2 linked regions of the Drosophila melanogaster genome follow. The protein of the gene in region 1 interacts with the protein of each later gene in a biochemical or structural test. Each region holds a gene or a part of one and is shown on either strand. Other genes may lie near its edges.

Evidence for each region.
Region 2: the proteins of Tctp (region 1) and tefu interact in a test that uses a peptide from one of them, tested with the Drosophila melanogaster proteins (one study listed by BioGRID).

What each region holds. Positions count from the first base shown.
Region 1 is NT_033777.3:11,208,721-11,212,712, reverse strand, and holds Tctp (translationally controlled tumor protein), read right to left. Parts: upstream 2,467-3,992; 5' UTR 2,333-2,466; coding exon 1,814-2,332; 3' UTR 815-1,813; downstream 1-814. Other genes in the region: SdhC (succinate dehydrogenase, subunit C), read left to right, coding at 2,914-2,915, 2,973-3,486. UniProt on the Drosophila melanogaster protein: Involved in calcium binding and microtubule stabilization.
Region 2 is NT_033777.3:15,239,069-15,244,101, forward strand, and holds the start of tefu (telomere fusion), read right to left. Parts: upstream 3,169-5,033; 5' UTR 3,153-3,168; intron 3,095-3,152; 5' UTR 3,076-3,094; coding exon 2,875-3,075; intron 2,817-2,874; coding exon 2,708-2,816; intron 2,657-2,707; coding exon 2,471-2,656; intron 2,413-2,470; coding exon 2,192-2,412; intron 2,136-2,191; coding exon 1,791-2,135; intron 1,730-1,790; coding exon 626-1,729; intron 572-625; coding exon 394-571; intron 337-393; coding exon 167-336; intron 116-166; coding exon 1-115. UniProt on the Drosophila melanogaster protein: Serine/threonine-protein kinase which recognizes the substrate consensus sequence [ST]-Q. Required to suppress spontaneous apoptosis of proliferating cells during development, and for their proper differentiation. Required for female fertility.

The sequences.
Region 1 (3,992 bases):
CAAGAGCTAAGTAAAAGAAAGTGTTTGATTTTCAGTTGTACTTTCCGAATTTTTGTTAACTTATTAACGTTTGTATTTGTTGAAATGCGTTCGGCATTCATTCCAATTCTATACATACTGAAAGCATGGCATAACTTATGCAATAGTCCATATCGAGGAGCATTAGTGTAATTGTAAGCTAAGCGAAAGATTTTGTGCAAAGGTAAATATAAATATTTAAAGATTTTTTAAAATTCAGCATGAACAAAACCAGAAAATAGCAACTAATTCTGACTGACATTTCCATGGACATTCCGCCGTGCGGTGGAAGTGCATTTGGTGAATCGTTTTTGCCACAGTTTGAAGCATCAAAATTATGAACGAAATAAAATTTAATTTGTTATTAGCATTTTTATACGTAAACCGAACTGAAAGAAGTTTTAATTCCGGTTGGATGGGTACTTATCATTCGTTTTTTGTTGGGTACAAACAAATAACCAATTAACATATTCGATTAGATTAACCTATTTCAATTATTTACAAAAGATTCCCATTGAAAATAATCTGCTATTGAACTGCCCAGTTTACTACTTCTTTACAAAAATATAATTTAATTTGAAAGACCACAAAATAAACCAGAATTGTATAGCTTGTTGTTCTCCTTATTGTTAAAAAGTTTTCTTGGAACAATACTCCATTTCAACAACGCTTCATAAGAATGGAAAGGTACATAAATAGACACATATGTATGTATATTAAAAACCATTAAATTCAACAATGTATGAGAATAGCGAAGAAAAACTTTTAGCTTTTTATCCCGAAAATGGTTCTATTTCAACTAGATTCAAATACTTGAATAAAATATTCTTTACAATTTTAGGAAAATATATTGTGCTTTTCAAAAAAATTGTTTTCGAACATCAGACAATATCGCCGTTCGCCCTAACGAGTGTCCACTGTGCGCATCTCTCACGCGACGAACGGCAACAGGTCGACACGTTTCGCTGAAATGGAAATAGCACCTGGGGCGCAGAGCCCCGCCCTTCAAGCAGATAAAGACGTACGTATTGCTTGACCTGGAATTAGATTATAGAATCCCAAATTCCAGCGAGAGCGGCGCATTTCATTAGCATGGTTGAGGTTAGGGCGAAGCCAACGTGAGAAACTGGGGCAAGTCGAACTGCAACGTGCAGAAAATCGTGTTCCACTGCGCATGACCTCCAAAATGTCCAATGACGGTAACGGTATTGGTGCGGGGCATGTGTACATCACTGTCAAAGGTCAATAACTCCGCGATTGCCCCAAAAAGCAGCAACAACACAAACTAACTGAAGTCTGTGACTCAGACGGTGGTGGCGCCCTCTCGTTCCCACTCACGCCGCCATATGGCGGCGTCTACCTACGCATAACTGCAGATTTGGAAAGAAGTACAGACATGCGGATTCACAGTTGTTTTGTATAGGTGTTCCGTTTAATTTCAGTACTGGTGTTCCCATTTTCGGTCTTCGTTGCTTTTTGATATCTTAGCGAAAATGCATACTAATTTGTAGGTGTTGCTATCAAATTATTATTTTAATTACAATAGGTGGCGCAATTGAATTGTTTAGCTCGCTGTGATTAAACAATAAACATACAATGTCGAATTTATAAGCGCTCCGGTAAAAAGAAATTAGATATAAAATCGCACTGATCGAAGACAGGCATTTTTGTCAGCGTTTTTAAACATAAATTTAAGACTTTCAAAATTGTAACTAAGCATCTGATAAATATGTATATGTGTGTAGAAGGTATGCATGAGTATAGGTTCCGTTTTGTTTGGGGGATTGGGATCCATCTAGCATTTCTCCTCCTCCAGACCGTGCTTGAAGAACATGAGCACGGGCACGCTGTCGCCGTTGATTTCGCGGTATTCCACCAGGGCCACCATGCCGTCGCAGTCCATAGATTCGCCGGTGAAGAACTGCAGCTCCTTGAAGCGGCCAAGGATGTCCTTCATGGCCTTGTTCATGTTGGTCTTGAAGATGTCGACCTGGTCGGGCGACTTCTCCTCCAGCTTGGCCAGCACCTTCTTCATGTAGTCCTTCAGGTAGAGGGTGTACGACTTCTTGTCGCCGAAGGCGAAGCACTCCGTCAGTCGGTGGTTAAGCACAACATCCACGCCAGACTCCGAGGTGATATCAGTGCCCTCGTCGGCCTCCTCGGCGGATGCGTTGGCGCCCTCCAGCTTGATATCGTCACCCTGGCGGGTGATCAGCTTTCCGTACACCTCGTAGATCACATCATCCACCAGCTTCATCTTGTAGGTGTCGGCAAACATCTCGTCGCCGGTGATGATATCCTTGTAGATCTTCATGGTGATTGGCTTGTCGGGAGTCGGAAGATGGCGTCTAAATCGCTGGCGAAAATGCAACTACAACTGCACCGGACCGGGAACACTGCGAAACGACCTGCCACGCGCTCACTCGAACAGCAAAAAGAATGAGCGAGAAAAAATGGCGAAAGAACTGCCAACTCGCTTGGGAGTGGTAACGATTGATCCGGGAGTGGCAGCGCCTACTATACACGTATCGATAATTTCAATGTTTTCTTCGATTTATTGTTAGTTAAGAGCAGGGAATATTAACAAGGCGAACAAAATTATTATAGCTATAATATTGATGTTTCTTACGTATATTTATGGCCATTCTAACTTTTAATAATTTGAGACTGTTTCAGTAAAAAAGATAAATATGTGTAATATTCTCAATTGGAATAATATAAAAGTGGGAACAGAATTAATCATATAAAGTAATAACAATGTTTTACAGTTGATATAAAATCAATACTTTCGAGACTTATTTGTTTTTTACCAACGTAGTGGCATCCCTGTTTGCGGTAATATCGCGCAGTCAGTGTACGGTCCCATCAATACAAGTTCGAGTGAAAAACAGGGAAATGTACGTAATTTCTGTGATGGCACTGCAAAAACCCTGATTTGTGACTGCTTTTTGCAGGTATGCACTCTCCAGTTCTTTGATCCGCTCTCCGGCGCTGCGCCAGGGCCTCCAGATGGCCGCTGCCAGCCGCCCGGTATCGATGAAGGTGGTTTCCGTGGCCGAAACCCAGAAGGACGAGTCGTTCTTCGAGAAGAACGAGCGCTTGGGCAGGGAGCTGTCGCCCCATCTGACCATCTACCAACCGCAGCTGACCTCCATGCTCTCGATCTGTCACCGCGGCACAGGATTGGCCCTGGGTGTGGGTGTTTGGGGTCTGGGATTGGGCGCTCTGATCTCGTCCCACGACATTAGCCACTATGTGACCATGGTGGAGGGCCTCCAGCTGAGTGGCGCCACTCTGACCGCCCTCAAGTTTATCATCGCCTATCCGGCTGGCTATCACACCGCCAATGGTATTAGGCATCTCCTCTGGGACACCGGACGGTTCCTGAAGATCAAGGAGGTTTACTCCACCGGTTACGCAATGGTCGCCACCTCTTTCGTGCTATCCGCTATCTTGGCCCTGCTCTAAGTCCAAGACCCCAGCTAAACCTATTACATTTTAGTGCGAACACTGTGTGAAAATTGTTATATACTAAATACATGTAGTGTGTATATTTATAAAGGTGTTTGTTGTGTTACGCAATCCATTTTGTTGCTTTGGGCGTGCTGCATACGTTTGTTGTGCGCTGCAATTTGCACGGTGTGCGTGTTTTTAACGATTTCGGTGATTTGTAGAGTGAATTCAGTGTGGAGGCCGGTTAAATAGACATCTTGCGGTCCATTGACAGCGAAATCAAGTATACGCCCCGAACAAGCGATTTCCGATAGCAGAATATTACTTACATGCGCCCAAAAGTAGGGAATACTTTTTATAGGCTTAAATTTACATGAAAAATTAAAACCAAATGCAAAAGGGCTCCGAAAATGTATTTATTTAAGAGTAGCTCTTTGGCTTCCCTAACTATAGAAAAGTCTTCTAAAGATCCTTTTACTTCGGAACTGAAGAATCTTTTTATTAGATGGGGGATTCAGTTC
Region 2 (5,033 bases), 4.0 Mb from region 1:
GAACCACTTTGTCCATCAATTCCGCATCCTGATGATGCTGCTGGAAAAGCGTCTTCAATTTGCTCACTAACCAAGAGCTGGATGCTTCAGAAATCGTTTGGCAGCTGCATAACATCTTAAAGAGATTTCAAAATTATTTCTGTTTTGGTTACGATATAACTCCTACCTTGGTCACAATAAGCACATCCTGTGGATGCCAACGCATCGTTACCTTTACTATGTGCTCGAATGCTTCATCCCGGTGCGAATTGTACGCACAAAGACCAGCCAAAATATTAAGGCACAGACGCGTTATTGTTCCATGATCTGCATCTACAGATCGCTCCCTCTGCATGGCTAAAATATTCCACTCTTCAATTATTAAAGCGATACGTTAATTGAAAACTACATTACAATGCAACTTGAGAGCAGCGCCAACAAATTCCACCAACATTTCAATGGGTTGCCTTTCCAAATAATCGAGTAAGACTAAATTCGTCCTGAATACATCAAGTACATAGATTTCCAGACGTAAAATCTCTGGTAAATCGCTCTTATCTAAAATCTCAGCTCCGTTCGCCTTGAGCTGGAACTGAAATGGGTATTAGAAAACGAGTTTTTGAAAGATTATTCATTTGGCACCCACCTCAATGTGGCTGAGATATAGTCCAATTCTTTTTATAAGTGGACAGCCAGTATAGGTATCTGCATCGAAAACCTTGTAATGCAAAAGCCTTTCCATTGTGCAGATCAACTTTAATAGACTATTCAGGTTTTTTATTATTGCCGCCGGTTTGTTCTCCTTCGCGATCTCAAAGTTAAGGCCTCGCATTAGGCAATCATAATTGGATTGAATCAAACAATTCTTTGTTTCGCTCTGAATGTGAGTGATTGACTCAAAAGGAGTGGCGTAGTCCTTGTCAAAGCAAATAAGCTGTTCGTTGTACTTGTAGGCCAAAAGATTGCGTTCGGTGGAAGGAACAATGTGTTCTGATTGAGAGATCTGTCGCAATTGCTGGACATCCAAAAAATTTATAATGCTGATTGCAAAAGTATCCGCCTGCAACTGGGCATCAATACTGTCTATATTGTGTATCATCTGAGCGGCGATGAATCTATCCGCACTTCCGTATGCCCAAGCTATGATGGGTTCTAAGTCAGCGGACGCCTTATCTTGACCACATTTATCAGCATGGATGAAGATCTCTCGAATCGTCGCTAAGCATTCGTTGCGCTTTAGCATTTCATTCGAGATAATATTGTTAAGCAGCGTGCTGGACAACTTTTGATTTAGTTTATTGTGTCTGATCAGCATCTGCAGCACCAATTGCTTCTCCTTGATCTCCTCACTGTTTGTTGTTGTCTCTGATATGAGCTGGTTTGCCATTTGACTCCAAAGCTCACCCAGAAAATCCTCCCGAATAGATTTAGAGTGCAAAAGCTCCTGTTCTTTAGTCAAAAGATGAGCCAGGCATAACCGAAGGTTCCGGAGATTTTTCGCATTGCCGTACATTTGCATTATTTCCGCCACGGTGGTTAGCGCCATTTGGTAGTTGGCCACATTTAGGATCACGCTACTCAGCTGAAGTATCTCAGTGAATATCGCAAGCCAGACGTCGTTAAAGGTGTTTTCCTTTTTGTCGATCAGACTAAATATAGTTTCCATTTTATCTGCAGGCTTCGGGATCTTTTTCGGCGCATCGCCTTCCCCATTTTCATCAGCCTTTTTCGTCTCCAAGTGCCAAAGCACCTGCAAATAATAATATAATTAAAATTAAATATATTAAATATTACTAGCTTATGCGACGTACTATATACATAGCCAGGGCAGACATCTTGATGAAGGGGTCAGAAAATTTATTATTGCTCAGTAGTGCGTTCTTGCAGCGAGCCCAGGAATTCTTTCGGATCTCCACATTGACAATAGTTTTCAGCCGCAGTAAAGTTTGCGGCCACTTTTCATGAACAGGCACACCGAGTGTATTAAAGTCACACATATCCATTTTGAGATACATTGAATGGAGCGACTTTGAAACGCACTGAAAGAACAGATTTCTGGTGTCGTCCCGGAACGCATCCTCGTCATGATACTCGCATAGTTTAGGTAGAATCTCCTGCATGTGCACGTTCAATTGGTGATTGTAGTTGACAGCAAGCTGAAAGATTGTTGCAAAGTTTTTAACATTATCTAAAGATATAATAAGAGTCCTACCTCTGATGCAAATATTAAGTAGACGCGAACAATCTCAGTTTTTCTGGCTCCAAAAGCGGAGAGCGCAAAGCTGCTGAGCTCCGGCAGATATTCCACTAGATCCACGTGCAGCTGAACCCGGTCCTTGGCCAAACTGACGGTTCTTGTGATGCATTTCAGTATTCTGGTTCGCAAGACCTCGTCCATATCGACATTCAGTTCAAAAAGATAGGAGAGAATCCCTGTAATACATCATCAAATTAAAAAAAAGAGTCTCTTTTGGGCCAGAAAGTAACTTACTACTGTATTCGTTAATTTTAAGGTCGCGCACATAGCTGACCGATGAGTAAATGCCCTTTTCCAGCAGGCTCAGAATGCGGTCGCCAAAATACTTGACTACCACTCGCATCTTGATGCCATCCTCGAATGCACTAAATATGCTTGTTTTGGCCAGGAAATGCCCATTTCCGGAGGTCTGCGACCCCGCTGGAAATCACAGGTTAGCTTTAATAACGTGTTTAAGTGTTTAGGAGTTACCTTCCAAGTTGAATTGTGTGATCTTCTCGAGGACATTATCGTACAAGTAGTTTTTTCCCGCCAGCGTTTTGAATACTTTCTCGTTGACATCCTCCAGATTTCCAGCTTGCTATCATTAGGTTAACAATTAAAATGGAACTGATTGTTTAACGATAATGGCTAGGAACCTTAAAGAGAGCCTCCTTCGACGCTTCAAAGATTGTGGTCCAGGATATATCCGAAGTTTTGCTAAGAAACAACTTATCCAGATCCTCTCGGCAACTTGAGAGCTTTTCATCCAGCTGTTGGATGCCCTTGTTTCGGCTGGCTGCCTTCCCCGACTGAAGGTCCCCGAGTATCCGCTGGATTTCGTTTAGAAGTGCACTCATCCTGGCTGCCCGGCATAACCTGTTGTAATGTTGTATTAATTATTAAACTAAACATAAAATGATCTCTCAAAATGTACTTAGAGTGACCTCTGCCAGAGCGCCAAAAAATACCACGATCAATAAGAACAGCACTGTTGTTAAATGGCTGGGCAGCCGTGTGCGTCAAATAAGTGCCGATGGAGAACTAGAATAACCTTATATAACGAAAGATTTATAAATAAAAAAATCCCATGTTCCATATTCCACTGTTCCTTCATTAATTATTCCTATATTATGAATTATATTCATTAAGAAAGGAATAGGAAATGTGGTTTTTAAAGTAACAAGCTACGTTCAGCGCTTCTACTACATATTAGCCAATTTCTACGACTTTACAGTTTCGGTGTGAACGTTCTGCGTCAACATTTCTGGACTTCTGTGTGAAGCGCTTATTAGGGTGGCCAAGAATTTTGCGGTTACACCCCTGGGAATTTAGTACTAAAATTGTTGATGGCTTTGGTAACACTTTTGCTTGTATATAAAAGGCATTCGCAAATTTTGTACGGGTGTAATTCAGAAAAAAACGCCAGCCAGTTTGATCGAAGGTGCGGCAGATTAAAAGTGAAGTAGCAATTAAACGGTTATATTTTAGTACTTTCTAAGAAACAACACACAAGGTAAGCGTTTATTTACATTTTAGTATTTATTTCGTTGTTAAAAAAAGTGCGACCACCTCGATTAAGTTTGCCGGAAAATAATTTGAAATCAAACCACGTGTTTTTTGTAGCCCCTTTACTATTTAATCAATACTCTCAAAGAAGGCAAGGTTTCTCGAACTTTCGACCCCAGTGAGTAACGCTTCGATGCACACTTACATACATAATTGCAAAGGTGCATCATAGAGCGCCTATTAATTAGGCAAATTAAGATTCTAGAAACTTTGGAAGTTCTGACTAATTGCATATTGATGCCTAATGCTTGATTGTGATTATCTGGAATATTCCACTGGAAAACGTGCCGCTTCCCACTCACTGCAGTCACAGTCTACTTTCGGTTGAGTGAGTATGTGTGAGAGAAAACTTGCGTCATCCGTTGCGGGGTCTTGACATTGCTTGTGATTTTTATTGTTTCTGTTTCCAATAAATCAATGTCCAAGTTACTCATCGTAATTGGTAATTTATTTTGAGTGCCATTGCTCTTTTGCTGGAATATTCCAGCTTGGGAAAAATGTGAGGCTTCCCCCCCCCCCACACAACCACACAAAAATGCGTGCATGTCTGATCATTTAATTTTAATGCTATACTGCTATAGAAACATGTTGGATTCCCTTACATACAGTCAAGGCATATAAACATTGTTTATAAATAGAACTAACATTCATAAATTTATACATTATGCGGCCTTTTATTAAATATACTTAGCTAAAAAAAAACACGTTGCCAACCGGCATTCAAAGTGCGGGCACGTGTGTTTGTGAGCGGGTAAAACCAACACACGCAAAGCCGTCCCGGACACAGTGGTTGTCTCCCTCGCTCGCACATACGAATCACCCTCCAAAATGACCTGGCTTCAGCAGCGTGGTTTACATATATTTAAGTATATGCATGTGTGTGTGTGCTTGTGAGGGCGCGTGTGTTTGCGTTTTTAGCATTCCAGAATTTTCGCCTTTGTCCATGCGGTTTCTTCTCTTTTTTGCGCACTTTGCAGAAAAAGGTGGCAGCTGCTCGGTCGCCATTTATAATTCTCATCGATCCAGCATTGATCTTGCCATTTTCATGAATCGGTTGGCATTAGTCACCGTTCGTGATTCGCCGATTTTGGCAAGCCGTTTTAGATAAACATGCGGCATAAATGGCACAATGAAAACGAAATGCTCGCTGAAAAAGGCGAAATAATATGGCGTTTTCACTAGGAAACCGAAATGTGTTCTACTTTTTCCTTGGTTGTCATGGGAAAGTATTCAGCAACCCCCAAGTACA